Tribolium castaneum: one gene and its partners. The main gene of each other region encodes a partner of the protein of the gene in region 3 in a complex. Links are inferred from orthologs where the notes say so. Each region holds a gene or a part of one and is shown on either strand. Other genes may lie near its edges. The genes, in order: PPP4R2r, Pp4-19C and serine/threonine-protein phosphatase 4 regulatory subunit 4.

Region 1 (10,486 bases), on a different chromosome or scaffold from region 3:
TTTTTAGCAACAAACAATAATGACTTCTTTAGATTATTGAAATAAATTGTTTGCTACACCCACAGAGTTAATTTTGCGATAAGTACTTAATTATGGGTAATTATTCACCCTCTGGGAAAAACGGTGGCTCATGCGAATTTAAAGATATTCTTGGAAAAGTTATTTTATGTATGTTCACGATATTAATCATTTTTACTAAAATATCTCATAATTGAGTAAACACAACTTTTGATGTACGAGCACTATACTTGTATTTTTGACGTATCTTTTATGTACAGGTAATTTATTTGAAAATATATCGGGTGATTCAAAAATATGTGGCATAATTTTAACCACGAATACCCCTCTACAATTAAGAATAGATAGGATAGTATTTACTGACCCACCACAAAAAATTGGAAAATTACAATTTTTCAAAAATTGGTATGGAAAAATGGTTTTTTGAAAATATTTTTCTTACCGTTCATGCGATTATTATGAAATTTTGCATGTCAAGAGACACAAACACGCTCTTTGATATGGTGTAAATGGAAATCTTGTAAAAGCTATACATTTCCGGTGACAAGGGGGCCCTCCTAGTTTTTAGGTGATAACTCAATTTTTCGGCCTATGAACACGTATTTTTGATACCAAAAATCAAAAGCTCAATTATTTTTTAATAAAAAAGGAACTCTTGCTTCATATCGCCAAAATGTACCGTTCTCGAGTTATTTGGGATTAAACTAAACTACACCGCAGTGCAGAATAAAAAAGTATAAATTTTGAGCATACCATTACCTTGGAAACTGTCGACTAAGAATGACACAGCTGTCATTGCTGTCACATTTGATGTCAATTTCATTTAATCTAAAGTAAAATTCGATTATTTCTTGATGATAATAGTTAAAGACACGATTATGTGTTGGAAGAAATAATGCATGAGCTAGCGATAGCCACCCCGGCATCACAACTTGATCTGATGCCACACCACCAGAAAACGATTTTCCCTCCAAATCGCGTTTTTATCGATATTTCAATACTTGCATTATAAAACTATAATCCAAATGAAGAATTAAAACGATCAGAAACCAAGAACACAACCTCAACTGTAACAAATAACAAAATAAAATCTTTTCAACCATTTATAGTACCATTATTGCAATTTTTCTTTAATAGGAAGTTAATTTAATCCACAGGTTGTTGAAACCTGCAAAGAATAACGCACGGTTTAATGTTTATTTACATTTTTTAAAATTACAAGAACTTCAACAACAATAAGCATGAAAGCAACAAATGCCGCTAGCGCGCTAGCTGGCGCCTGTGCTATTTTTTGTAAGCGCGAAAAAAAAATCATAAAGTCATAACGATTAAAAAATTCTTTTAGTATTTGGAAATGATGCCCTGATCACCCCATACTGGTAAGTCAAGAAAAAAAAAATGATCCAGGTTATTATTGTTGTTTAATAAAAAAACATTGACTTCATCATTCATATTTTTTTTGATATTCGCGCTTATGAAAAATAGCACTGGCGCCAATTAGCACGCTGGCGGCATTTGTTGCTTTTGTGCTCATTGTTGTCGAAGCTCTTGTAATTTTCAAAAATGTAAATTAACATTAGGCTGTGCGTTATTCTTTTGTGGATCAAATTAACTTCCTATTAAAGAAAAATTGCAACAACGGCATTACAAATAGTTGATAAGATTTTATTTTGTGATTTGTTACAGTTGAGGTTGTGTTCTTGGTCTCTGATCGTTTTAATTCTTCATTTGGATTATAGTTTTATAATGCAAGTAGTGAAGTATTGATAAAACCAGCAATTTGGAGGGAAAATCGTTTTACGGTGTGAAAACCTTGTGGTGTAGTCTCAGATCAAGTTGTGATGCCGGGATGGCTATCGCTAGCTCATGCATTATTTCTTCCAACACATAATCATGTCTTTTACTATTATCATCAAGAAATAATCAAAATTTACTTTGGATTAAATGAAATTGACATCAAATGTGACAGCAATGACAGCTGTGTCATTCGTAGTGAACTGTTTCCAAGGTAATGGTACGCTCAAAATTTATACTTTTCTATTCTGCAGAGCAGTGTAGAGTTTAGTTTAATCCCAAATAACTAGAGAACGGTACAGTTTGACGACATGAAGCAAGAGTACCTTTTTTATTAAAAAATAATTGGGCTTTTGATTTTTGGTATCAAAAATACGTGTTTATAGGCCGAAAAATTGAGTTATCACCTAAAAACTGGAAGGGCCCCCTTGTCATCGGAAATGTATAGCTTTTACAAGATTTCCATTTACACCATATCAAAGTGCGTCTTTGTGTCTCTTGGCATGCAAAATTTCATAATAATCGCATGAACGGTAAGAAAAATATTTTCAAAAAACCATTTTTCCATACCAATTTCTGAAAAATTGTAACTTTTCAATTTTTTGTGGTGGGTCAGTAAATACTATCCTATCTATTTTCATTTTTAGAGGGGTTTTCGTGGTTAAAATTATGCCACATATTTTTGAATCACCCGATACAATGGTATCCGGTTAGAACGAACTCAGAAAATGCATCACAATCAATTCGTTCGCTAAAAGCGGTAAATTAAAAAAAATGTCTTTTAAGTAGTAATTTTGACTTAACATTTGAAATAAGACTAAATAAATAAGTATAAATAAATTGAATCCTTTGCGAAATAGTAATATATTCATATATTACATGTTACAGATGTATACTGTGTGAATTATACTATAGTTGTGTAAATAAGGTGTTACAGTAGACCTCAAATGTGAAAATTGTAAAAAATAGCTCAACTTACTTTATCCGAATATTTATAGTTTCTGAGATATAGAGAGTTTTGGTCGGCGAATGAATTTGGCAACAACAAAAATCTCTGAGTTTAGTTCTGCCATAAAAAAATATGAAAATGTGGGCAAAAATACCACCGAATGTAAACTTTGGGAAAAAGTACTCAAAAGACGCAAATCTAGTTGACATTGCACTTTTTGACGAATTTTTAGACGCTGAAGTGGAGTAAAAAGTAGTGAAAATAGTAAATAAAGTTTATATAAAGTAAGATGATTAATTTTGACTTTTTAGATCTCTACTATCATAAAAAATTTGCACAACTCTCAAATTCACACTGTAATTAGGTTTAAAAACACACGTTTCCACCAGTTAAAATGTTTTCTGTTAAAAATTCAATAAAAAGTTCGTTATAAACGGAAAATCGCATCACATTTTAAGTCGAATCTAGTTCGTTATATCCGGAAGTTCGTTATAACATCCGTTATCTTCAAAGAGACACACACCACACCCATTTAAAAGAAAAATATTGAGGTGGTCGTGTAACCTTTATTTTATTCCTTCCACCACAAAGCAGCGACATTCGAAACGGGTGAACTTGAACCAAGATTTTTTCAATAACAAAATTTGCACAAAAGTCTCCAGTGGGAAGAAATATGAGTCGGAAGCTCATGAGTCGGAGCTAATACGGTGTAGAGTATATAAATTAAATTTAATGGCCTATCAATTTCACACAAAAAAAGTTAGTCAACATCGGCTACTTTGAAGTAAAACAACTGCTTGAATGTTTACATTTTATGTTTTTGCTAAATAGCATGTCGCTACAAGCCCTTCAAGTTTTATTGCTTGTTGAAAGGAGTAAAAGTTTTTGTCGGACCGACAATAATTTCTGTTTTGTGCTGTGTGCTGGTAAACAATTTTGTTGTTGCTAGTTTCTTTTTAGTTCCACATAGAAAATATTTATCTATTTTCTTTACTGTAACTATTATATAATTAAATAAACACATACAAGCAGAGTAAAATGAAACAATACGTTGATTCGTTTTTATATCTGGGCCAGTGTGTTACTTTTTGCAAAAGTCGCCCGCTTGCATCTGTAAGAGTTCTAAATTCTAATTAACACAAATCTTTTAAAGCGATTACGCTCGGGTATAGGGCTGCCTTACAAAAGAAAATAATCCTCATACGTGCGCAAAATGATACAAATACATAACAAATAATATATTTACAAACAATTCGGTATTATAAAAGATAAACAGAGTATATCATATTCATAAGCCACGTTAAAGCTATGTACAAAATAAAACTTACAAGGTATTTTTCTCTTACAATTATGAATTTTAAGCGTTTATTTTAAGTTCGTTTCTCAGGATTTTGCCGCTGGGGTTCCTTGGGATCGACTCGACGAATTTAACACCGCCGGCGATTTTTTTGTAATGGGCCACTTTGGGGTTTATGTAAAGTAGGATGTCGTCTTCACTCAGGCTGCTCCCGGGTTGGCGCACGACGAAAGCTCGGGGCACTTCACCGGCCAAAGCGTCCGGAATACCCACAACAGCACAATCGGCCACTCCGGGCATCTCCAGGAGCAGATTTTCAAGCTCGGTGGGCGACACCTGTTTACAAAAAAATAACGATTATTTCTTACGTAAATATTTAACAACGCGTAATAAAAAGAGTATAAAGTATGACTTCGTAACGTTAAATTCCAGGTGCCACGTAATAAAATAATTAAGGTGTGTTTTAAATTCAAATTAAAAAAAATTTTTGAATTAAAAACCACAGGGTATGCAACCAGTTATACAAAAAATCCGAGTGTTCGCAGAGAAAATATTTTTAGCGAAATCTCGGTGTCGCTCACCCGGTTTTTGCACACGTGTTAGACTTTGCGCTGTTGCTGATTATAATTTTTAATGACTGTACTTTAAAATCAAATAAAATTGTCTCGCGTTTAAATTGATAAATGACCACGTCCTTAAAATAGGCGCGCGGTTGCGCAGTTCGTCGATCACGTCCTACTTTGAGTGGAATGATATTGAACCGGCGCTAACTTCGTTATTGTCATTGGTGCGCTTGTTGACGCAAGTAGATGGTGATCGGTGGTGCTAAAATTTCGCGAAAAAAACAATAACAATAATGGAAAATCCCGAAGAAATACTCCACAGTTTAGAGGAATTCTCGAAAACCAAGCCCAAGGACATACCGCGCGAACTGGAGGAGTACCTTTGTTTTGTGGCGAAAACAGGGGACCCTGTGTACCAGTGGTCGGCAATAAAGAGCCTCTTTCGCGAGAAGATGATTAACGTTATAACGGAGTTCTACGAGACGTGCCCTTCGGTCGAGATACCCCCTTGTCCCAACGTGGACATTTTCAATTACGACCTTATGAAGAATTTTATTTTAGAGAAGTTGGACACGTTTGCGGCGGCCCCCTTCACGTTACAGAGGATTTGCGAGCTGTTGACGACTCCGAGGAAGGAGTACAATCGGATAGACAAGTACATGAGGGCCCTGGAGAAGAATATCCTAGTTGTGAGCACCACTGAACCTGGGGGCAGGAGGAACACGGAGAACGGGGAGGGCATTATGAACGGGTTGGAGTCGGAACATTTGCCGGAAACTAGCAATAGCAGCAATGACATCAACGTGGAAGAAATGGACGATGCGCCAGCTTGGCCTAGATTGCTACAGAACGAAAATGTTCCATATCAAAATGAGAATAGCAACAGTAATGACATTCAAACCCAGCCAATTGTACAAGAAACGGTGGTCACCGCGTCTAAGCTACCAGATGTGGCCTGCAGCTCGTCTCAAGACACTGTCATAACGTGTCGAAGCTCAGAGGAGCCCTACGTTTCGATTGAACCTGTGCCATCAAATACTTGCACCAGATCAGACCCAGATGAGACGGATGTCTCGGTTACCATCACTGCCATACCTGCAGGGGTCCAAAAGAGACGAAACAGTGTCGAACCGGTCGTTTCGTCAGAAACCGAAGAAATCACCGAGTCTTGTGTAAGTACCAAGTTTTGATCAAAGTGTCCATGTGTTTGAAGTTGGCAACATTAATTGCTAAATGGTCACGTCACACTCAGGACAGTGTTGCCAGGCCTCGCAAAATTTCACCAAGTTTTGTGATTTCGTAATTTCAAAATTTCTTCGAAAATTACTAAATTAAAAAACTGTTATCAAACCATTAAAATCACAAAATCCCTCGATGTAGTTAGTTTAGGAGCGAAATTTCGTAAAAAAAGTCAAAAAACCGTAAATAGATTTTAAAATTGTTATTTTTAGCTTTTCAAGCACGTTTTTGAATAAAATGCAATGTGTTTTTCAAGATTTTACAAAATTTTGTTCGTTCTATTCGCCTCTTTTATTTTGAAAAATCTTGTTAAAACGCGCCAAAAAAATACAAAAATAAATGAAAATTGATGGTTTCACTTAATTTGCTCATTTTTGAACAAAATTTCGTAGTAAAATACCCTAAAAGACGCAAAATTTGTGTGGAAATGGTGTTATTTTTTTTAATTTTTTAAGTATTAACTAAGCTATATTAACAAAATTTTCTTGAGAAGACCGAAAGTTAAGAAATAAGAAAAAGAAAGTCGGAAATATCATTATTTCTTCCTTTTTTGTGCGTGTGGACATATTTTACAGTCCGAAATGTAAATATTTCGTAAAATTTTGTTGTAAAGAAGCTTAAAATTTGCCAGCTTTTTTTAAAAATGGTGATTCTATGCATTTTCTATGCATTTAAACGTATTTTTAACGCGAAATATTTTTTCCCTTTTGAAAGAATATCTAAAAAATACGCAGCTTAGATTGTCTCGCTTGGTTTAGTTTTATTTATTTTGCAAAATCTTGCTAAAACGCCTCAAGAAGAAACCGAAATTTCTTAGGAAAAAACATGTAAAAGCGCATTTTTGGAGTTATTTTTCACCATTTTCAAGTTTTTTTTTCTTGTGAGAATGAGCATGTTTTAGAGCCTGAAATGCAAATTTAATAAAATTCTGGTCAAAACAAGTCCAAAATCCACCAAATTACGCTAAAAATTGTGCTGTTTTACATTTTTTGAGGATTTAGACGTATTTTAAAAACGAAAATAATTTTGCAAAAATTATATTAAAATTAGTATCAATTGGCAAATTATGTTGTAGTGTAGTAGTAGATTAGTAGATGTTTTTTAGCTTATTTGATTAGATTTTATTCGTCTTTAAACCTGTCTCCTTTATTTTGCAACATCTAAAACGCTTCAAAGAAACTGATGGTATTTAACTGTTGCACTTGAAAAAACTCAAAATGTGTTAGAAAGTGTTGTTATTTTTTTATTCCCTTTCGAGATTACAGCAAAATTACAAAATTAGATTGAAAATAACATTATTAGTTTTTGTGCAAAATTTCTTAGAAAAAAATCTGAAAAGGTACATTTTTTTGGAAATGGTGTTATTTTTTAACTTTTTCATGTATTTTTTTTCTTTAGACAAGACCAAAAAATTAAGCTGGAAATATTCTTTCTGTATTTTTTGTGTGTATGAGCATGTTTTAGAGTCAGAAATGCAAATATTTTATAAAATTTTGTTCAGAACAAACCCAGGATTATGCTATGGTGCTATTTTACCTTTTTTGAGCATTTAGGTGTATTTTAAAAACGGAAATAATTTTTTCTTTCGAAAAATTGTACTATAATTTACATACAATTGGCTTAACAATAAACAAATTATATTATAGTGTAGTAGTAGATATTCTTTTTGCTCATTTTATTAGATTTTGCTCGTCTTTGAACCAGTTTCCTTTATTTTGCAAAGATCCAAAATACTTCAAAAAAATTGATGGTGTTTTACATGATTTACTATTTTTGAGTCAACTTGCTTGAAAAAAATATACGAAGAAACGCAAAATGTGTTTGGAAATGGTGTATGTTTTAATTTTTAAAATCTCTTTGAAATGAATAAAAAATTACAAAATTAAATAGAAAAACACATTTCTTTTTGCAGTATTTTTTATTCTTGCAAATGTGCATGTTTTACATTATGATTTTTACCAAAGTATTGCCTTTCCGCGCGTTTACGCACGTTTTTAGGCTAAAAACTGTTTCTTAACTTTGCTAAAATTGTCTCTTTTCGTTTCGCCCAATTGATTTTTACGTTTTTAAGCAAAATTTCGTCAACAATAATAGCAAACCAAAAAAAAGTCTGATAATCTGATGAATAAGTGGATCGGGGATTTTTTCAGTTCGGAGTTACGAGTGTGGCAGTTGTGCCAGCTTAATTTGGAAAACATGTTTTTTCTAGGACCAATCTGACAAAACCAGCGAACCTTCCAAAGAATCTGAGGCTAAACAAGAGGAAACGCCTTCGTCGCAGCAAATCGAGGACGCAGACTCGTCCTCAAGCGCTGAAGACGACAAGGAATCGGTTGAAAGTAAGGAGGAGAAAACTGTGGACGATGCGGTCCCTCAGAGCGAGTTATCGTCGACTGAGTGCGATAAAAACGAGGATGAAGTTGGCACATCGCAAGAGAAACTTGACGAGAATCCGGACGAAAGCGAAGAAATAACTGTCGATACCACCAAGTGTTCAAATGCCTCCCCAACACCACAGGAAGAAACTAAAGAAGACCTCGAAATTACGTCTTCTGACAAAATTGATGAGGTGCACTCGTCACAAAGCGAAGCTGAAGCGAAAATTGAAGAGACTGAGAAATGTGAAGAATCTCAAGCTGCTCCCGAAGAAGGGGTGAAAGAGGCAAGTGAAGAGGCGGCGACTGCGATGGATGTGGATGAGTTTAGCGAAAAAGTGGAAGAGGTTGTCAGGGCTGAAGCTACGTCAGACTCACCTTTATAATTTAGATAATTTTTTTCCTTAATTAACGATCAAGGCTAACAAACGCGCCTTCTTAATTGTTAAGTATTTATACAATGTGTAATTATGCAAACGAAGTTTTTTCATTTTACTAGAATCTGTAGGGTTCGTCTGATTCGTCAACAAAATTCGTTTTTTTTAAATTTGTATGTAGAGCGTAGGTAAATAAATTTGTACGTAATAAAGAACTGAATAAATGGTTTATCTATTGAAACCTTTGCATCTTTTTGTCAAGACCGACATCCTGCCTACTTTTACAGAGAAAGTGGAGCGAGGATAAAAATTGAACCGGAATTAGTCTGGTTCGTGTAGGCAGCCAACAAAACAGCGTTTTATTCTAAAAGAGTTTTCTAAAGCACGTTGAACTTTTTTTTTTTAAATCCAAAATTGTTGGAATATTTTGCTTGTTTCACTCATTTATTCGCTAATTTTGGAATAAAATTTCGTCCCAATAAATAACCAAAAAACGCCCTAAGCAATCAGTGGAAACAGATTACGTTATTACGAAAATTTCAAGCTGTTTAGCATGTTTTGAATTAAAATCTTAGTTTTTGTTACAAGACGTTGCGTAAAACAATGAATAATTGTCAAATTAAATCAGTAGTAATGTTTTCAACAAAGGAAAATCTCTAAATGATAGAAATTGATGCTATCCTAAATTCTTACCCTGTTTCACTTGATTTAGTTCATATTTCATTAAAATAAACTTACAAATCACAGAAATAATAAAAATTGAAGATTTGTTTTGCCTGTTTCAGTCGATTTCGTTGTTTTTTTTAATCCTAATAAATAACAAGAAAACCTTCAATTTTATTTTTACTTTTTTTCAAGCTTTTTAAGTGTGTTTTGAACTAAGATTTTGGGTTTTGGAAATTTTGAAAGCCGACCCTGTTCAGATCAAAAAAATAAAAGGTCCATTGGCGTAATCAACAAAAAATTGTTACTAATTAGTTGGAGCTCACTATTATAACAATCTGACAGATTTAAAGCAGTTGTATGGGCAATGCTATCAGAGTATAGCCGCGGCATTCAGAGAGTACTTAGAGTAGGTAAAAATAATATTGAATTTTTTAAAACAATTCATTTGACGTTGTTAGTCTGATCAACTCACAAAATTGTTTAAAGCCAAAGAACTTGCTGATTGTAATATTTTGTAATATAGTGAAATAAATAGGTGCTCATATTATTAAATTCTCCTTAGAAAGTGGCTTTGTTTGAATTGTGGGTATCTTTTAGAATATCGAATTCACGAATTCTTAAAGATTTCGATGAACTGTTTTGCCTGAAATTATTTGCTTAAGAAATGATCAGCGATTGATTGGATCTAAAAATGTACCTCACACCATTATTATTTAGATAGATAGGTACCTCAAAAAACGGTAAGTTACAAAGTCGTAACAAAATCAGTGAATCAGACAAACCTCGCTTTTCACCTTACAAGGATAATTACGTCACAGGTTATATTTTTGTGTGACGGTTTATTCATACTTTTATTCTTACACAATTATTGTTGTGCCGTTTAATTTTCTTCAGTTTGTTACTTGCTGTTTCGCAAAGGTACGCCTCGTAAAATAAAATATGAATTTTGCGGTTTAAAAGTTTCAAGTTCGTGGTTTAATCGCGGAAAAAAGAGTTAGTCTGGAAAGTTTTACTTTTACTACTGACGTACTGCATTGATTTTTCTCGAAAAAAAAATGCCCTTGCTACAAATTGTAGCAGATGTAGATATTTTTTTCTTATTTATTGCCAAGTGTGAAATTTTGATTTTTGTGCTGTATTTTGTATTTTATTTCAGAAACCAATAGTTCCTTTACTTCCTTCATTTTCTAATAATTATTATTTACCTA
Region 2 (10,232 bases), on a different chromosome or scaffold from region 3:
ATCTCACAGTTGTTCTCACCCTATACTTTTGAGTTCCGTGGCCGTGCAGGGATACAAATCTAAAAATTTGTATCTGTCGACCAATTGTGCCGTTTCTTTGCCTTCAAATTCTTTAATTTTTGACAAGACTTCCGATCGTCTTTTCTCAACTTTGACAATACTCTGTAAATCCCCGATATTGCACTCGAATTCCAGAAAACGGTTCCAAATGTCACTAAAAATGAAATTTGTTTCGTCAATTGGTCGTGAAAAATACCAATGTCGTACACGGATTTTTCCGGTTCTAGACTTCCAGATGACAGGACGCGCTCGAATAGCACTCGCGTGTTGTTGTCTTCGTTCAAGTGTGACAAATAGTCGATGTAACACGTGATATATTCGGGGATATCCCCGAATTTTTTCAAACCCAGTTCGAAAATTCGAAACGCGATGTTTTTGTCTTTACTGCAATAGTACTCCATCAAGGCGGCGCAGACGAAAATGTGGTACTTGGAGCGATTGTCTTCGCGCGCTCTTTTGAAAACGGCCCGAGCCGACTTGATCCCTTCGGCCCGTCTGGCGAATTTCATATACTGGATGTACGCCTAAAAATTACGATAAAAACACCGTTTTTTTTGTTTGTTGTATTGGTACAAGTGTCGGGTCGATATCTTGAATTTCAAGGTACTTTTGGTAAATCTGGTGGACTTTTTCGTATTTCAAACGCCCTTCCTCGTAATCAGCGTAGGCGAAGTAAAGTAGCATGTTTTTGTTCAAGAGCGAGCTCGTCGCCCTCTCGAACATATTTGCCGCCTCTTCGCTAAATAATTTCGAAGCGTTGACGTCCTAAAACCACCAAAAAATAAACAAATTTAAGTTTGGCGCCAAAATTAATTAGTACCCCTTTCTCGGCTAGAATTTTACAACTGTATTCGAGAAACTGTGCCGCTTGGTACCAAATATCAGGGTGGTGTCCCAAACAAAGTAGGCATTGCTCAAGGGCGAAGACCACTCGTTTGGTCAAGAGGGCCGTGTCTTCGGTGCGAAGCGGATTGCTCTTCTCCCACGCGATATATTTCTGCCACAGCTCGACCTGAAAGAATTTTTTTTAACAGCAAAAGTAACGAGTAAAATTTTTCTACTTTACAATCTGCCTAACATTAAAACGAAAAAGTCCTTTACTACTTATTTTAAGGCAAGAATATTAATAATATGTGACGAAATACAGACAGCATCTGTTTTTAAGGCAGAGTTAAAAAAAGTACAATGGAAATTATTTTTCTGTTTTTAATTTTTTAATTGATAATGAAATTGGGTCGTTTAAACAATTAGAATTTGTGCCAACGTAACACTTAAAAAAATATTTGACATTTTTTTCTTGAAATTTTAAACAAATATTAATGATATTTTTTTATACTTTACGTTTATAATACGTTTATTAACGTTTATGAGTAGGAGTTGTTTAGGGATATTTTTTAGTTTTATATTATTTTTTATATTTTTAATTTTAATATTACTATTAATATTTTCAATTCATTGATAATAATTGTTATAAGGAACTGTACAAACAATCTGAAGAAATTCATATGCATAGAAAAAATAATAAGCATTTTTAGCAAACGCAGATTTTTACGTGATAGAATTAGTTTTAAGAAAAAATAGCTTTTCAGAAATAGTTTATTTTTTTATGTAAACTAAAAATGAATAAGAGAAACAAAGCCAATCATTACATTAATCCACAGCTACTTCCAAGCAGTACGTTTCGATTTCTTGTTTTTTTAAATATTTTTTATTATGAGAATTTTTTTTTTCATAACGAAGTCAAAAAATAAAAAAAAGTGTTACGGTTCGCTCAGATTTAATTAAAATTGTATGTTGAAAACACTTTTTCGTTTCCGAAAAAAAAGAACAGTTAAAAAAATCCACGTCATCTGCCAGACTAGAAACAAACTAAAACGTGTTCTCCTTTAACCTCAAGAACTAAGAGTTTTGAGGATCGAGTTTTTTGTGAAATTCTGAAATGGATTAAAAAATTCTGTCTTTATTATGTCATTTGAATAAATATGTTTGCCGATAAGTGAGTTTATGTGGCTCAGATGAAATATTTGCAAAGTTCTGCAAACTATCACTTTTACTCCTAGTAGATTGTATCTGTTGGCAACAGATTTAAACGTATTTTTGTTAGGTTTTCTTGATAAATATTTAACGTAATTAAGTCAGTATTGCCAATAGTTTGTACTACTGTGACCAATGAAATAATTCGGCAGAGTTGCCAACTATAACTGACTTGTTTCCTCTCTTCTGGGCTTCCGTTGGGGGGCACACTGGGGGCGTTCCTGTTAATCCCCCGAATCTGTACTTCGAGTTCTTTGGCGACTCTGCGCGCGTTCATGTAATCGCGACTCCTCTCGATGCTCATTTTTTCCGCAATAATGGGGTTAATGGCCTGAAATGTTTGCATAATTTTTTTTCGTAATTTTTGGGGGTTTTTACTTGTTCGAAGGCTATGTAGTCCTTCCAGAAGGTCTCCATCCCCGTCATGGGGTTATTAATGCCCCTTTGGTAGACCTTACGCACCGCTGAAATTTTCTGGTTCTCCGCATACGAGCCCACGGCCTCCACCCCCTTTAAAAAATTCACGTATTCGTTCCAAATCGAGTACGAATGGATGTCCATTCCGATTTTGTCCAAGGCAAAGTCGTAGGCTTGTGCCATTTTTTCCCTAAAGAATGAATCAAAACATGGGATAAACGCTAGAGGGCGGTTTTACGTACTTATAGGTCGGGAGCGAAGCCTTGGTTTCTTTAACATATCCGAGATAAAGTTTCCACAACTCAATATTTAAGATCTTCATCAAACACCTTTGAAACAACTGTTGGAACAACGAAAAATTTAGAACAAACCCGCCAAACATTGGTTAACGAAAGGAGAATATTGGCGCAACAAAAAAACAAATTCTCGTTTGGCAACATTTTATTTAGCGAGGATTGGACGCCTGGAGAGGGAAAAAAGACACAAAATATTCCCCAATTCATTAACAAATGCTCGCGACAACAGCAAGGGTTGAAAGTACTAAAACAAGTCTAGCGTCATGGTTTTTATTTCGTTTGACTCTTTACAATTTAACGGCTTTCCTACCTTTTCCACTCTTTCGAAATTCCGGGACTTCATCTGTAAAAAATCGTGAGTCAGGTTAGTGCCGACAAGGGGGCTCAGGTCACCTCGTGCTCGATGTAGATGCGCCAGTAGCGCGACGCGCTGGGGAATATGTCGATGAGGTGCTCGTAAAGGGGGCGCACTTCCGAAATGTGCTTGGTTTGCACCTCGCGCAGCAAAATCGACCATGATTCGAGGTCGTAGGGGTTGCGCTCGACCTGCTTCTGGGTGCGGTGCAACTTATCGTTACCCCAGTCCTAAATAACACGGACAATTTATGATTTTTTTGGGGGTTTTGGGGTTAACTTACAATGTGGAGCCTCTCGTCGGTCATGGTTGACGCAATTCATGCACTAGAAGCCCACGAAGGGTTGAATTGATAAAAGGGATGTTTTTAAGGGCTTATGCACCGGATTTTTGGTAAAAAAAGCACGAAAAAACGAAAATATTTGGGCTTGATGATGCCGCGACTGTCAAAATCAAGCGTCCCGATGGTACGAAGTCGTGTAGACGCGAATTGTTCCAAAATAAAAATTATAAAACCAATGAGAGACAGATAAGTAAATAGGAATAACAACTGTTTGATTTGGATTACGAATTGAGCTTCAGAAATTTTGTAATTTGTGGTTGACACAAATGCTTGGGGTGTCTTGTTACAAAGAATTACTGCTTCATGGAAAATGATTTTTTATGACTGGAGGCTTCAAATTTCGATTTTGAAACATAAAACTTAAGAAACCTTCAATTCAAAGCTTAATTATACGTTTTAAGGCTTTTTTGCTTAGCTATCACACACGCGATGGGTACGGTTTTGAATTAGCCGTCCCAAAATGGCTGCCAGTGCCGCCATTATTTTTTTAATTTGCAATATCTTTGAAATAAAACTCAAATTTTACAAAAAAATGTATTTTGGCAGTCTGCAAATGGTACAATACATGGTTTTAAATAAATAAATTCACTATAAGTACAGTTTTAGAATTTCGAAGTCAATAGAGGGATAAATCGACAACTGGAACAAAAACTGTCTTAAACATAATTGAAGACCATGAAAAAATACGTAACTACAACTGATGAATTAATTATGAATTAACAGATGACCAAGAGTATAATATGTATATTACAATTATAAAAGAACAACTAAACTATTACAGAAAATAATCAGCTTGTGGTTTTTTCGATGGCACGCCTCGAGTTTCCTGAGGCGCCGCTTCAAAAATCGTAAAATCACGTTGCAGATGCTCGTTCAGTTCCAAAATTGCGGCAACGTTGCCACACCTGCAAACACAAAAAATAACCGAAATTTACCAAATGCCCAGTTTGGAAAAAAAAACTAGACGCCCTTTGTTGACGACATTTCGTCGAAAACAGTAACGAATTTAATGTATCGTTTAGTAAGTTTGTTTATCATGTGGTTTAATTTTTAAATAAGTAGGCTTGGTGGTGATGTGAAGCTTCTAGATCCAAATTCAAATAAACCTCCAAAATCTAGTAGGTTTAAAAACAAAATTGTTGGCGTTTTTTCCAAAGCATCCTTCGCAAAAATATTTTTTCTCCATTTTAACCAGCATTCGATCATATCATGTGATACATCGTTGCAATCAGAAATAAAAACACTTTTCGAAAATACAGACATAAGAAAAACGAAAGCCTCCAAATTCGTACAATCATAATAAACATTTCCCGACATTTGAAGTTACTGTTTTCAACCTAGCTCAGTGGCGCTCCCAGTGGTAATTTTACCTGTAGCAATAATTTGGAGCTGACCACACTGTCAGCACAGTCTCGTTAAAGTGCCACTTGTAGCCCTCCATGACCAGCTGATGCGCTCGACAGATCATGTCAATGTCGTTGGCGGCGTTAAACTGGGCCACGACGTCGGAACCGAACAGATAGCCCGCCCCTCGGGGCGACACGCCCCAACCTTGGGTATCTACAACATTGATTTTTCATGACTAACTCTGGACACAAATATAATTTTTCGGGGCCAACTTGGCCACCAATTTTTTTTTTCAATTTGGGAGCGACTCAAGGGGGCTATTAATTACCTTCAGGGTCGCTCCATAACAGGTCGCACATTGGTCCGTCGTGTGGTACTTCCTGTTTCCGGTCGATGACTCTGATTTGATCTAGGGTTTGGATGGAGGGCGACAGCCCCCCGTGAACACAGAAAATTTTGCCATCAATGATAGCCGAAAGTGAGAGGTAATCGAAAATTTCGGTGCAATACCGCCATACGGTTATGGAGCCGTATTTGCGTAAACACTCGTCGTAAAATCCGTAAACTTGGGTTATTTGACGCGACTCGTGATTGCCTCGTATTAAGGTGATGCGGTCGGGGTACCTAACCTAAAAAAATGATCGTAAATTTTTACTTGTTGCGTCACGTTTTCGGTACTACTTTTAAGGCTAGTAGCAGGAGGAACGTCTCAACACTGTAAAACCCACGATCGACAAAGTCCCCCATGAACAGGTAGTTCGTTTCGGGGACGTCGCCCCCCACTTTGAAGAGCTCCTTCAGGTCGTAAAACTGGCCGTGTATGTCGCCACAAACCTGAAGCAAGTCACAATGAACCAAACCGTGACCCCTTCCGGGGGCTGCGCTTACCGTAACCGGGGAATCAACCCTCTGAACATTGCTCTCTTCAACAAGAATTTCCCTAGCTTTCGCACACAGCGCCTTAACCTCGCATTCCTTGATCGTTTCGCACCTTTTCAACTGTTCGATTTGCCGGTCTAAATCGCTGGTATCGCCCATTGTGCCTGAAACACGGGCCCCCAAGCTCAAACGTCAAACGAAAACAAAAAGTAACAAGTTGAGGTTAGGTCACCCAAACTTAACCAAAAACCCCCAAAACTGAACCCAAACGATTGCGAAACGCTAATTACCCACAATTCTGGCGAAATTCCGTACCTTTTTCCAATAAAAGTTCGAAAAAGCCCCCACCAAAGCCACTAATCACAGCACCCCGATGCCCTAATCTCAGACATACGTCCGATTGGCTGACTCACAAATGTCAATTGAGCGGCGGCGTCGTGTCGCCACCGACGCTACTCTGCGCACGTTCTCAACCCTTATTTCGGCAGGAAAGCGACGGTGGACGGTTAAATTGGGGAGAAATTGCGTTTAGGGTTGTTTAAATAAAGTTGGTGCGCCTGCGTTAGGCAGTAGGTCGTAGTATGATTACGGCTTAAAAAATTAAAGCGGAGTTTTTTCATGTTTAACCTGAAATTTTAAGGGGGTTTTGTGGAGGGTTTGTGACTGTGTGTGTGGTGCCGAGGTGTTGGGAGACATGGGAAATATCCATACGGTGGGACCGAATGAAGCCCTCATTGTTTCAGGTAATTTTATTGGGGTAGCTTGGACAAGGGTGGCTGGGGCTGTACTACAGCGTTTGCGGGGTTTGGGGTACCTGCATGCAAAATCTGGGGTCTTTTGGGGTATTTTCAAGGTGAATCGTTAGTTGTTGATAAGAATAAATAGAATTCCCGACCATAAAAATAACTTTTTAATTGTAGTATTATTGATAGTGAGATACAAAAACTACGTTTCAATAATTAACGTCTCATCTTTACCGGTTTAGAGATTTATTAATAACTTGTTTTTTTAATATGACAAAAATGTGTTATTTTATTAATTAAGTATTATCAAAAGAAGATTTTTTCTTAGTCATAAATTGTTTTCAACAATTCCCGCTAATCATGTGTTTCATTTATTGCCTAACTGCAATAAAATTTAAGTGCTCTACTATTTGACCTTTGACATTTGTATTGTGTTTGGTTGGTGTGCCTGTTTGTTGTTGTTTTACAATGGGCGTACCTATCTGGAACAACCTTGCATATGTTTATTTACTGTTTACTGCAGTGGTATAACATGATCGTGATTGTAACTACTAGAATTAAAAAATAAAAGACAGTCTTCTGGTTACAATTTTTTTGAAAATTAATGGCCAAAAAGTCAGTCATTCCAGTCTTTTTTCCGTGGTGTAAGTCGGACATAATCGGCTAGTGTAAATCGCTCTTTAAGCAGTGGTGCTTACAGTATTACCAACTCAAAAAATAAAAATCACCAGATCCGCGCGGAATTTTATCAAATTTTCAATAAACTGGAGCCTCTAATGGCTTGAAAAATGTTAAAATAATGTAATATTCAATCTGTTTTAGCGAAATTTTACAAAAAAACTGAAAATTTAACTTTTGAAATCTCAAAATCACGTAACAATATCAATTCCATTTTTTGGCGTCTGTGATACTGCAAAATAAATGAGTTTTTAGTTAAGAAACTAAGTGAAAACTAGCTGAATTTAGCCGGTTTTCGAAAAAGTTCTTAATTTTTATCTCAAAAAAACACCATTTTTCGTCTTATTTGGTGAATTTTTGGTTTGTAGCGAAATTTTGCAGAATAATTATACCTCAGTACAGATTACCTCCGGCTGATGTAATTACACCTCTGGCTGTAAAACGAGCTAAATAGGCAACAAAAACATAATTATCGATTCAGTTTGGTTTGTTTTAGTAAAAACTTGCAAAAGGCTCTCAAACTTTGGTTCAGAAGCAAGTTTAAAAGTTAAAATAACACCAATTTCGATCAAGTTTTGTGTTTTTTTGGCTAATTTTTCACGAGATTTTTCTCAAGAGCGAGCTAAATCGAGTGTAATAAAGAGGGGAAGAGCGAGTTGGATTTATTATTGTTGTTTTTTTGTCGTGGTTTGACAGGATAATATTATGAAAATCTTTAGATAGAGACTCTACTTCAAAAACTAACAAACTAGAACGAAAAAACTGAATAAATAATATCAATTTTGCTTTTATTTTGTGCGTAGCCATCTGAAGCAAGTTAAAAAAAAATCATTGAAAAACTCAAAAAACTTACAAAAAATAAATACTTATTATCAGGAGCGTATTCAGCTCAAAACAAAAGGGGCAGTTTTCAAATTTAACATCTTACTAACGACATTAACTTAACATTAACTGAGTAGTTAATATACTATGAGATCGAAAATGTACTCAATTAGAGCAAGCTTTGAAGTGAAGTGTAACTCTAGCCACTTCATATTTTCTTGAGTCCTAATTGGTTTTACTAAATTTTGCAAATAACAATAAAACGAGTAGCAATTAAACATTAAATTAGGATATTTCTCTCGAAAGTTTATTTTCGATCTCATGTTATTATGACTTCTCACGCGAATTTGATGCAAGTATCTTTACTAAGGTTTTTTCAAAATGCTGAAAGGCAATTAGTTTTTTATAAGTTTTTTTTTATATTTTTAAACTTAAAAGGTGGGCCAGCTGCTCCACCGTCCCCCACCCTGGATACGCCTTTGCTTATTTATTATACTCTACGAGTGAAAATGTTAAGTTCAAGAATGACAAAGTCACGAGTGGAATTATTTTACAAATTGATAAATAAATAGAGGGCGGTTAGTTAGGCAAAAGAAAACAGTAAGAATGGCAAAAAAGCGTAAAAGGCAATAAAAAGGGCAAAATTTGTTTGTTTTTGAAAAGGCAAACTGATATTTTTAAGACGCTTAATTTTAAAGATATATTGAAATGAAAAAAGTTAAAAAATACAAGAGACAACAATTTTTGTGTAATTTTTTTTATTGTAACACTTGATTGTTCAATTGATGCGGCAATAAAAGTTTCACAGAATAAAAACACTGATTTTGAAGGACCGGGCTTGTTCTCTTCTACAACGCTGGTCAAAATTATTGTTGACAGCATTTTAATTTTTTATGTGTATTTATAACGCATTATTTACATGTACTTCATTATTACATTATTTACTGTAGCAGGCCTTCAAGTTAATGAAATTTAAGAGAAAAAAGTTATATTCCGATATTTTGTAAATTTTTGCGGTTGATTTCTTGCTATTTCATCTACATAGAATTGATAACGAAATAGTTTAACATCTGCTATAGAAAAAAACATTATTTTGCTTAATTTGGTGAATTTTTATCGTGAAAAACTTCGAACCAATAATTTTTTTACTTAATTTTCTCTATACACATTGCTATGTTTTCGTGAATGAAACAATAATCACTAATTGAATCTTTATTTGTAAAAATTTACATTTTGGCTTTGGTCAACGTCCATTAAACTGGACAACTCTCCCATTTCTGACACCTCTGTCAAAACCACCCTCATCGTGCCACCTTCTCCCAATCCGCCTTAATCAAATCTGCCGCCTTTTCCCCCACCATAATCGCAGGTGCGTTCGTATGCGCTCCTAGTGCAAACGGAATCACACTACAATCGGCAACCCGCAACCCCTTGACCCCGTACACTTTCAACTCGTGGTTGACCACCGCTGTGGGATCATCCTTCGGCCCCATTTTCGCCGTGCCTACTTGATGGTGCAGTGTCACACTTATAGCCCTTATGGCGCACATCCAGTAGGCGTCGCTGTCGAAAATCAAGTGTGCACATACCGGAATCGGATTCGGATTCATCCGCGTTCCCATTTCTTGAAACGGTCGAGTGTTGGCCAGTTTTTGGATGTAGCGGATGGCGGCTAGCATTGTTTTGAGGTCTTGTTGGGCGGGGTCTGTGAAGTAGTTGCCGTAGAGGAGGGGGTAGTCGCGGGGGTTGCGCGATTTGAGTTTGAGGTAACCGGTGGATTTGGGGTGGAGCAACATGGGGAAGATGGTCCAGGTGGGGATGTTGTGGGTGGGGCCGTAGACGGGGTAGTAAACGTCGTCACGGATGTTCATCCAACGGCGGTTCCATAGGCCGTAGTCGGTGCTAAGGGAGCCATCAAGGAACAGTAGTTCGATATCGGGGATGTCCTCAACTTCGAGCGATTCTTTTGTTTTTATGTAGCCAATCCCACCGACTCCGCCCAGACTGGTGTAAGGGCCAGTGCCGTTGAAGAGGAAATCGATTATGTTTTTGGGGTTAATTAGGTGGAGGACGGACAGGGAGAGGGGTTTATCGATAATGAAGCTTAATCCCGGGTAGGTCAAGTGGTCGTGGAGGTTTTGCCCCACTGGTAAATCCTCCAGGAGGGGAATCCCCATTTCGGCCAAGTGGTCACGTGGACCAATCCCGGCCAACATTAATAATTTGGGCGAATTGAACGTCCCTGCTGATAATATAAC
Region 3 (10,508 bases):
TGAAACCTGTGCTATAATGCCCCAAAAAGACAATAGTAAGGTAATTTTTTAACCCAGTTTAGTCATTTCCCAACCAAGAAATTGTTTTCACCTTTTTTTTGAACCTAAAACATACTTAAAAATACTTTTACGGTTTTTTGATATAATATAATATATAATTTTATAATTTTCTCTTTTTATCAAAATTTATCAAAAGTGTGTGGCGGTAAAATGTTTACTTCCTCGAAATAGGCAAAAATATTTCGGCATTCGTCGATTTTTTGCTTAGTTTTAACGAAACTTGCGAAATTATAGTGATTCTAGATAAAAAACGAGTAATTAATATACAAAAAAAACGGCAAAATAATGTCAATTTCGATCCAATTTACTATCTTTCGAGCATTAGCTTGAAAACGTATTAAATCGTATGAGAATTCAAAACTACGAGAATCCTTCGTCCGATTCGGCGTCTTTTTACGTAATTCATGATAAAATCTTTCAAAATACTAATTAAATGTCTGGCTGTAAAACTTGTTCGAAAAAAGCAAAAATATCATTTTTGGATTTTGGCGTTTTATTTACGTTTTGTTGACGATTTTTGCAAAATAAAGACGTTTTTAGATAAAAACAACAAAAATACAAACAGTGGCAAAATGACATTTTCGACAAAACTTAGTGTTCTTTGACTTTGACCTCATTATCGTCAGATAGTTTTAAGAACAATGAATTAAAAAAAAAGATAAACCTAAATAGGGTTGGTTGAATTTAAGTCAGATTTATCGATAGGTAAATTTTGTTGGTTGGCTAGTTGCTAAGGTAGAGATGATCTGATTGGTGTTTGTAGATAAATTATGGAAGCGATAGAATTTATATAACGATCACTCATTCAAGAAACCGGGGCTTAAACATTTTTAAGCCAATGAAGCCAATACTTTATTATTTCAAGAGATTTCGTGGAAGTAAAAGACAAAAAGTTGTCTGGTTTTATCTTTTGAATTACATGTTTTAGCAAATTCCAAGTCTGCTAACTCGTATTCGGAAGTAAAATTACCGTTGGGGGCGCCACTGAGCTAGGTCGAAAACAGTAACCATAAATGGCGGGAAAATGTTTATTGGGATATTTTGAGCGTTGTACGAATTTTGGGGCTTCACAATTATTACATTGCCTATGCGGAATGATTATTTCATCTTTGATGCAAGAAACTTATGTTGACAAATGAGAGATGATGAGGAAAACACGAATAACGAATGACTGTTTGGTTCACTTTCTTTATTGGAAAATTATTACAAAGACATTGAAAAACCTACCTTTTGGCATAATTTACGTTTAAATGTATCAGCAGTTGTTAATCTTTATTGTAGTTTTGTAGATTTACCGCAGCATTTCATGATTTTTTCAGTGGAAAATTCTAACCTAAAATTCATAACACTTCACTAATTTATTGGTTTCTTGAGCCAAACTTTGTGTTCGCTGTGATCCATTACTTATAATCTTTAATTAGACAACTGTTTGATAACACTTTGTAATCAAAATTTAAATATTTTTCACTTTTTATCCACTTTCAAGTTCGAACAATAAACACATTATACCATGAAAAACTACAGAACCAAAGTCAACGCTAGTATTTACCACCACGTACTTTTAAAGTAATTCTTTCTATTGTAAGTAATTAACACTATACACGCAAAATTGTTGAACAATTCATTAAATGTCAGTTAAATGTGGCATTACGAAAATTTCTTTACTGTTTTCGACATAGTTCAAAAGTCATCACCAGAGGGCGTCTAGTTAATTTTATTTCCGAATTTCGTACTTAGATTAACATTTATATTTTAATTAACTTACCTGTGTCACTTCCAAATTGTCCTTATTCACACGCACAGTTTGCCCTTTAGCCGCCAAAGTTTTAAAAAATTGAAGAGTCCAAACACAATCATTAACTTCCAAATCACTTTGCAATGCGCTTACTAATTTTCCATACTCTCTAGCCATTGTCGGAAAAGTAGTATCACCCGGACCTGAAGTTTTTTGGCACAACTGTTTAATTAAAGGAACAATGGTTTCTAATTTAGTCTCTACAAAAAATAGTTATTACCAATAAACCATTATTTCATTAATTACACTTACGTTTATTTAAATACGGAATCATTAAAACCGCTGAAGCAACCGCAGATGATCTAACGGCCATATTATCATCAGAGGCTAACTCAACTAAACTGGGAAGTAGACTAGTTTTTACCAAACTTTCACCCAAACCTTCAAAAAATAAATTTACTTCAAATTAATGTACACAGGGTAAGTCTCCTAAAAGTTTATGCTACCACAAAAACTAAAAATCATACAGAAATCGGCGTTTGCTGTTAGATACTTTTTTTCTTCTTAAACAAGCTATGTTTGACTGTTGTTTTGTGCAAGAATTACGTAAAAGAATTGTCACTAGCCACCAAAAAGCCTATGAAAAAATTTATTTGCTGTCTAACTCACATTCAATTGAAACGAAATGGAAATTTAACTCAAATAAGTTCCATTAGTAATTTATTAATTTTTGAGCCAGTTTACGGAACATTTTAATTGCAATCAAATTTTAATTCGAGATTAACTTGACAATTGTCAATGCATTTTAAATAGCAACTTAATTGGAATTAGTTTAATTCCGGATTAAATATTAATTTCGCTTTTGTAAACCGACTCTTAGAAGAATTATTAATTTAATCCGCAATTAAATGCGTTTTTAACTAATCACGTGACTCGACTGAACCAATTTGGTTCAGTTTTGTTAACTTGTTGTTAACTTTTAACAACGAATTAAAATTTAATGAAGCTTTCTATAAACCGGCCCTAAGGGGCCAATATGATTGGTCCATTCGCGTTGTTAATTTTTAAGAACGCAATTGTTAAAATATAATTCGTTGTTAAAAGTTAACGTGAATGAACCAACCAAATTGCTTCGATTTAAATTAATGACGCTTCTGTAAACCGATCCTTAATGTTCATTTACGTAATTTTAGTTACAATTTACTTTCCAAAACTTTAATTATATTACGATTAAATGGGAGCTGAAACATGTGAGCTACAGAATGAATAAATTTAATTTTTAAATTTGGGGCTAGCGACAATTTTTTTTATTTAATTCTTGCAAAAAACATTAAGCATCGTTTATTTCAAAACATCATTAGAAATTATAAAAAAATAATGCAGAGACTTAATTATAATTTATAATTAATTTTAAAGTAGTATTATAGAAAAAATGGAAATGCAGGGAAAAAAACTGAAGTAATTAATACAAACACAGTTACAAACAAAAATGAAAAAAAGAGGTAGAAAGGAAAGAAGAGAAAAAAAAGAGAAAAGAAAGGTTCTGTTAGTAAAAGGGGAAGAAAGGTTAAAACAGGAAACCAAAATTGAAAAAAAAAACAAAAAAAAGGCAAAATAAAAGAAACAAAAAAACTTAGAAAAAGAAAAAACTGCGTGTATTACAGTAGGAAATCAATGCATAATACTACAAATATATCGACAGACATTGGTCAATTAACTCTTGTTGGACTAAAGAATAATGAAAAAACCCCAGTACCTCAAAAAGAATGCTTTAATCAATTTTTTTTAAGTTTCTGTGACGTATTGGTGATGATTGAATTTGACCAGAAGGCCAAAGGAAAGAAGAAAAAGGCTGAAGTAATTGATTTGAAAATATACGAGAAATGTAAAAAAATTGAAAATGTTAATGATGATTCTAATACTATTGCACAAGTTTCTTAGAAATTAAAAAAACAAATATTGGATAAGATATAATCTATAATCATTACAATGTATACTGCTGGAAAAATTGAAAAAAGAAGAGAAAGAGAAAAGGGATTCGATTAATACATAATAACAATGGAACAAAGATTATTGAAAGAGAAAACTAAAATTGAAAAAGGACAACAAAGATATCTGAAGCGCCAACAGATTTTTGAAGAAAAAAAAAGACGTAGAAAAAAGAAATAAAAAAAGAAATGGTAGACTTAGCTCTAAAAAGAATAAAAAACGAAAACTACCTGACGATTAAATTAACTCTAGAAGATCAAAGTGAACACATACTATATGAAAACTTACTTTATAATTTATAGGGCCATGAAGGAATCCGAGAAAAAAAATTACGCCAAAAAGGAACGCCTATGCTTATTGGTGTTCAATATGACAACTCTTTTTGTGAAAAAATTCACATGCATAGAGAATAAAATTAAGTACTAGTATTTAATTAAAATGCTGGAGAAGTATTAGCTTTCGTGATCTGAACACGAGCAGATATTATTAATTTTTGTATAAACTTTCAATGGGGACAATAAGATTTAAAAGTGATTATTTATTAACGAACCCTGTGCAATGAAGTGCAACTGCGAACACATTGTGGCCCTCACGTCTTGAAAACAATCTTGGCACAAACTTTGAACAGCCGGCAAAATCGAAGCTTTGACGCTGCAAATGCGAGTCAAAAAGAAATTTAAAAAATCACCTCCCCTTACTCTATCGACTGCATTTTTGGATGTGACGCACATTTTCCCAAGATTTTACAGCTAGAAACGCGACAATACACAGGACTTGAGGGCTGCGATTTAGCCAATGCTAACGGTATCACCTACAACACCTCTAAATACAACACATCAATTAAAAAAATTGCACACTTACTGCTGATTTAATTTGATCAATTGGCAGAGTTGGAATAACAGCCAAAAGAGTCTCAGTCCACGCATTCGAAACCACAGGGTCTTTAGACTCGGTTCCTTGTATTACAGCCCCCGTTAAATTCAAAGGCAGTTGCTTTTCAATCAACAATTTAAATATCTTACTAGTGGCTATGTGAAACTCGCATGAGGATTTTGGCAGTTCTTGTTGTATTTTTGGCACAAGTCTTGTAAGTGTTCCGTTTGGATCATATTGCAAGATTTGGGGCAAAGCCTGAATTACGCTTAATTTCTGAATGTCATCGCCTTTCCTATAATGAAGAGTAATTATAATTAAACCTTACTTGGGCCCAGATTAGCAAATACATGAGCAACTCTTGTAACAAAAAATAATCATCGTCCACTGAAGTCTGCGGGGGATAATCGTATAACCCCAAATCCATAACGCACCGAATAAAATTGTAATTTAAAGTATGGGGTTGAACATTAAGCTACATTTTAAAAGTTTGTGATATTTTTGTAATTTGAGAAAGAAAAATAGAAAAATACTTAAAAAATTAGGTTATGTGACACATTTCACAAACATCATTTTTTGGCGGCAAGTTCAAAAATCTGAAATACCTACCGCAGCAAATGAAGACTTCTGTCAATCGGTTTTGATTCAAACTGCGAGTCAATTGTGTGTTTTGCGAGTTGTTCGTTCGTCTACAAAAACCTGAGTACCATAAATATGAAGAAACAACAAAATCTGCCTCTGAAGCGAATCTTATAGCTTTACAAAATAAAACAAAAAGATTTGCTTCAGTTGTAGGATTTCAATACTTTGTTTCCCCAAGCCCCTGGTTTGTCCAGCTGCAGATTGGTGAGTTCTTCATCCATTTTTGTTAATTTGTTTAGGTTTGACCTAACTGTACTATAATTTTAGAATTTGGAAGGAGAGAAATGTTGACAGGAAAATTTGGTTTGACAAAAGTCAAAATCGATCAGTGATTTTTTTTAAGAAAAATATATTTTTTATCAGTAACATGAAAAACAACGAGTCAACGAATATGGATTCTAAAACTATTTACAGTGTTTGTGACCTAAAAGTACAAGTGTTAAAACAACTTAATTAATCTAAGAAATACTGTTAACTCAAAAATGGATAATATGAGGTAGGAAAAAAAATATTGTGATCTTTTAACGTCGTTGAGAATCTAGTTAATGCATTCCTTACTGCAAGTGAATTATTTACTTAATAACAACGAACACAACACACATGTCACAACAAAGCCCTTTTTTGCCGAATTAACTCTACTAAACTATCCAAGGAAAAATGTTGGTCCCCTTCCAAAAACATTTGCACCCTTAGAACATACGTAGAATGAAACGATTGGTCTAAAACATTATCATGAAATAAAATTCATTAGTAACTCTCCTACTTACGTTGGCCAGTTTTTAAAAGTAGAAGCGAATTCACTTCAAAACCTTCATTATTGACTTTATAACCCAAAACTGGCAATGGTGAAAAATATGTTCCAGAACTCTGATCCTTAGTTAAAGGAAGATCCAAAGATAAGGACTGTAAGTCATGTATTGATTTTGGACGAATCCTGATACTATTCGTTCGAAATTCATAATTAATTGCTTTGCAATAGATTTTAATTAGTTTAATTCTGCAAAAAAAACAACGATTTATAACATTTTTTGGGGCAAAGTGGGTTCAAATTTTAGGACTCAGTAGTAAATTTTAAGAGAAGAAGTTTTAGTTAGAAACACAAAAAATAACGATAAAGTCTTTACAGTTTTAGGAAATTTGGAGGGTGAAAACGAAGTCATAAAAAACAGCATGCTCCAGTTTTTAGTTATGATAATCGTCAAATTACTTGCTACATGGTTGTAATTTTTTTTTCCTGAGAAAAGAAGTTTTTCTTTCAAATTTTTGTGGCGAGAAGCTTATTTTTGCCCATAGATTATACCAGCGAGTTGGTAAAGCTCATGATTGGCGAGAAAATGTTAAAATATTTAAACAAATTCAAAAAAATATAGATATGACCCTCTAATATCACTTAAAATTACTTTCAAGTATATACAATGCGTTTCAAACTTTGTTTTTAAATAAAACACCCATAATTTGGATTTAGCTTAAAAGTTTAAAAAACTAAAGTACTAACGATATCTGCACATATTTAAAAAAATCATTACATTAAAACCGCAAAAAAAAACAATTGAATCAGCTTAAAAGAAGAAAGTATGAGCTTAAAGCATTTAAAGCTCATACTTTCTTCTTTTAAGCCTTAAAATACTAAAGGATTTAAACATTTTTTGGAGAAGTTAAAAAAAATAATAAATAAAAGTTGAATAACCTAAAATAATAATACAACACCTAGTTTTTATTTTTGCCTCTAAAATGCTTTTAAATATTTTTTTTTCGAAAAATATTAACCAGTTAATAAATGTCTCTTACTGATAACAAAAAATATAATATTTAAGTAACTTTAAACATTTGAAAAAGCAGTTATTGATTACGTCCAAAAAATGCAATCTGGTAGTGTTTATACGTAGTGTAAAATCGAAGTGTTTACGAAATTAAAAGTTTGTGAATGAAAAATACGCAAATAAGTCTGCAACAAATTTCAAACTAAAACACAAATTTAAATATGAAAATTTAAAAAATAAATTTAATCCGAAAATCTAAACTGAACCTAAAATCCTTTAATCGTGAATAATATACTCAAAAACTTAAAACCCGAACTTAATTAAAGAACTCAAAAAAGTAAGCGATTTCTAAATTTGAATTTATTACTCCCATTTCAAGGGAAGTTTTAACATTTACAATTTGTTATTTATAAGACTTTGGCCCGAATTCTTATTATTAAATTTAATAACGTCTCTAACTTATGTTCTCTCATTTTAATTTTATCATTCAATTCACAATTAATTACTTTAACAAAAATACTACATTATTGTACTTATTTTTTGTTTTTAAAAAAACAGAGTAAAGTAAATAATCCAATGTAACTTCAACTTCACATCAAAAGTGCGAAATGAATTTTGTTAATTTATGATTTAATGAGCATATAAACGCCAGAAATTTAAAATTAAAATAGTCAAACACATTAAAATTTACAATCCAAAGAATGTGAACAGAAAAATTAAAAAGTGCACCAAAGTTTATAAAAGTATTTCAGCCATTCCATTTAAACGGACAAATTTTTAGATTTCATTTTCAGTTTTTGACGCCCAGTATTAGTAGAAGTGAATTTTTCTTTATAGGATTTTAGTACCAGTCAAATTCTTTGTAACTTACAATTAGAGGCACATTTTTAAAATATGAAATAAGAGTAGGAAAAAGAAATACAAATTGATGACGGACGGGACACAAAAACACATTTTTATCGTTGAACATTCGTGTTAAAATTCTGTTAATTTAAAAGGCACTAATTCCAACAACTATTTTTAAAGTAAAAGGTGGAACTTGTTGAAACTTTTAAAACCACAAAACCGAAAAATAAGGCAATGTGCTACGACTTCTGATCAGTTTATTTTTTGTTTACATATGACAGACGGGACAAAAAAAACTTGTGTGTGAAAATAGCTCTAAAAAATTTACTCGGACAGGTTTTAAATATTAATTAGAGAGTGGAAATTAAAAGTTCTTGGTTTTGTCTAACAACGTAAAAAATAAGAACATTTTATGTTTTTGATAACGGATGATACAACAAAAGTTATAAAGATCAAAAAGTAATATTATTTATCAATTTATTTACCGATTTCCATTTTCTAAACTACCAGAAACCAGAAAAATACTTTTCAAAAAATATTCAACAGTTGTAATAATAATAATAATAATAATAATAATAATAATAATAATAATAATATCCTCTGTCAAAATCCGTTCTCTCGCAAAATACATTAAATATAAACCGAATCGTGTAGCTTGAAAGAGACTTAATATTACTAAAATCATTTTTGAATTTTGGGGTCAGGTTACATTTTTCCTGGAAAGGCTGATTTATAAATGTTGACCATTATTTTTGTTAAATAATGTCTTAAATCAAATAAATTTTGTAAGATGGGATAAAGTTTCTATGCACCCTAAATAATATGCATAGTTATTGCATGTTGGATTAATATTAAAATTAATATTTGTTGTAAGGAATTACCGAAAAATTCTGAAAAATTATGCTCACTTCTGGATGATAATTCGTTTTTGAGATAAAATAGAAAATACTTTTAACAGGGGCACCTTGTATACTAATTCAAAATATTACAAAAAAAATGAAGAAGTTTTAAAATTCATCTAGAGAGTTAAAATTACCTTTCGTCAAATTTTAGATCAGTCAAGTAGAGGTCTCCCAATCGCAATGCGTCTATTACGTGTAAACTATACTTATATCCAACTTTTCCAACTGATTCTTCCATGTAACATTTTTCCTTTACCAATTCTCCATACAGTAAGGTCCCTCGAACCAGTTGCAAATTTTTCACTCTCACCCATTTATTACCCTGCATTCGATAGACTCGCGATAATCCCACCCCTATAATTAACTCGTATGTTAACCGGGGATTAATAAACCTAACCATTAATACCTGCATAAAAGTTGCAAATGTTTGTGGCTCTTTTACATTGCATTAGAGCGTAATGCCAGTCATTTAAGTCATCCACAACCGTTTGTAATTGTTCAATTGAGTATATCTCACGTGGTTGCACCAAAAGTAATTCTGGTAAAAATAATATTAAAGAAAAAAATTAAAATTAAAAAAATGACACACCTCTATTTTCGACTGTTTCGTCAAGTAGGTTCTCCGTTGTGTACTTGGGGAGAGGTATTTTAGGTTTGTCTGGAATTTTCCAATAATCTAGACACTGTCTTCTCAGTTCTTCTTGTCGGTACTCTGTCAACAAAGGGTTTCTACAAAAAGCGGCAAGTTTTTGTAGACTTATCGTTTGGTTTTTGGCTATTCTGCAAAAGTAGTGTTAAAGAATCAAAATACTGAACCAAAAGTAACGCACAAAATTCATATCTTGGTTATGAGTAATTTAAAAAAAAATCCTCGAACAAGTCGATTTTTTTTACATTCACTTCTAACGTTATGATTACGGTACTAAGTATAAACACAGGTATAAAAAAATTAAAAACGAAGAAAGTAAAATAAAAAAGTTGTAAGAGTTATTAAGAGTATTACACAAAGAGCGTAATTTTTTCGTTCTTGCTTTATATTATAAAGATATGAAGGTTTTTTTGTTAATGTTTTGAGTTTAGACATCATATTAAATGTTTTCATGCAATTTTTCCAAAAACCAATATAAAAAATAATTGCCGCTTATACAGGGTGTCCGTTTTTCGAGCTCAGTTATTACAAGAGATACGAGGTCGGTTAAATTATGGCAAAGTGGCACATTTCTACGCTGAACCATTATCTGAAAGAAAATTTGATGTGCCATTTTGAAATATTGAGAAAAATAAATAATTTGTATGTAATTTTCGTTTTTATTTTTTAAGCGAAAACCACAAGAACTACACGCTTTTAAGTAGGACATTCTTTAGGCACATTTTTACAAGAATTTTAAATCTGTCATTATCTTTTCCAAGGAGTTTTTGATGTCAGAGGTACAACACTCAAATTTGGTTTTTCTTATGGACGCCATATTTAATATTTGTGTTTTTGAAAAGTCTTTTTGTTTGTGATTACAATGATGTATCACCATGATATGATCGAATCTTATATGCTGATTAGAATTAAGAAAAAAGCGTTTTTGCAAAGAAGTGCTTTGGAAAGAACGTCAAAAATGTTGTCTAGCAAACTAAATAACTAAAAAGTCTTTTAAATACGTAAGCTTGGCAGAAAAATGAACCTTCCAGATCCAAATTCAATTACACCTC

What was found.
Region 1: serine/threonine-protein phosphatase 4 regulatory subunit 4 (region 3) and PPP4R2r share a complex: the UniProt entries of both Homo sapiens proteins name them as parts of the PP4 complex. The link is inferred for Tribolium castaneum from reciprocal best matches to the Homo sapiens genes PPP4R4 and PPP4R2.
Region 2: serine/threonine-protein phosphatase 4 regulatory subunit 4 (region 3) and Pp4-19C share a complex: the UniProt entries of both Homo sapiens proteins name them as parts of the PP4 complex. The link is inferred for Tribolium castaneum from reciprocal best matches to the Homo sapiens genes PPP4R4 and PPP4C.

Annotation. Positions count from the first base shown.
Region 1 is NC_087402.1:9,723,191-9,733,676, forward strand, and holds PPP4R2r (serine/threonine-protein phosphatase 4 regulatory subunit 2), read left to right. Parts: upstream 1-4,771; 5' UTR 4,772-4,914; coding exon 4,915-5,793; intron 5,794-8,069; coding exon 8,070-8,621; 3' UTR 8,622-8,853; downstream 8,854-10,486. Other genes in the region: uncharacterized protein LOC107397720, read right to left, coding at 4,119-4,394. UniProt on the Homo sapiens protein: Regulatory subunit of serine/threonine-protein phosphatase 4 (PP4). May regulate the activity of PPP4C at centrosomal microtubule organizing centers.
Region 2 is NC_087401.1:11,675,728-11,685,959, forward strand, and holds Pp4-19C (serine/threonine-protein phosphatase 4 catalytic subunit), read right to left. Parts: upstream 6,201-10,232; 5' UTR 6,047-6,200; exon of another isoform or gene 6,022-6,046; intron 5,896-6,021; 5' UTR 5,891-5,895; coding exon 5,741-5,890; intron 5,687-5,740; coding exon 5,534-5,686; intron 5,482-5,533; coding exon 5,181-5,481; intron 5,066-5,180; coding exon 4,876-5,065; intron 4,411-4,875; coding exon 4,281-4,410; 3' UTR 4,026-4,280; downstream 1-4,025. Other genes in the region: protein suppressor of forked, read right to left, coding at 20-214, 268-584, 634-825, 881-1,072, 2,267-2,425, 2,473-2,701, 2,754-2,851, 3,118-3,150 and 2 more; Flo2 (flotillin-2), read left to right, coding at 6,426-6,474; glucose dehydrogenase [FAD, quinone], read right to left, coding at 9,276-10,232. UniProt on the Homo sapiens protein: Protein phosphatase that is involved in many processes such as microtubule organization at centrosomes, maturation of spliceosomal snRNPs, apoptosis, DNA repair, tumor necrosis factor (TNF)-alpha signaling, activation of c-Jun N-terminal kinase MAPK8, regulation of histone acetylation, DNA damage checkpoint signaling, NF-kappa-B activation and cell migration.
Region 3 is NC_087394.1:13,839,868-13,850,375, reverse strand, and holds the start of serine/threonine-protein phosphatase 4 regulatory subunit 4, read right to left. Parts: upstream 5,604-10,508; 5' UTR 5,521-5,603; coding exon 5,464-5,520; exon of another isoform or gene 5,350-5,463; intron 5,347-5,349; coding exon 5,267-5,346; intron 5,229-5,266; exon of another isoform or gene 5,085-5,228; coding exon of another isoform or gene 5,008-5,084; intron 4,953-5,007; coding exon 4,646-4,952; intron 4,596-4,645; coding exon 4,483-4,595; intron 4,436-4,482; coding exon 4,335-4,435; intron 2,237-4,334; coding exon 2,108-2,236; intron 2,056-2,107; coding exon 1,826-2,055; intron 1-1,825. Other genes in the region: Cmtr1 (cap-specific mRNA (nucleoside-2'-O-)-methyltransferase 1), read right to left, coding at 5,903-6,018, 6,067-6,296, 8,942-9,161, 9,214-9,345, 9,397-9,587. UniProt on the Homo sapiens protein: Putative regulatory subunit of serine/threonine-protein phosphatase 4.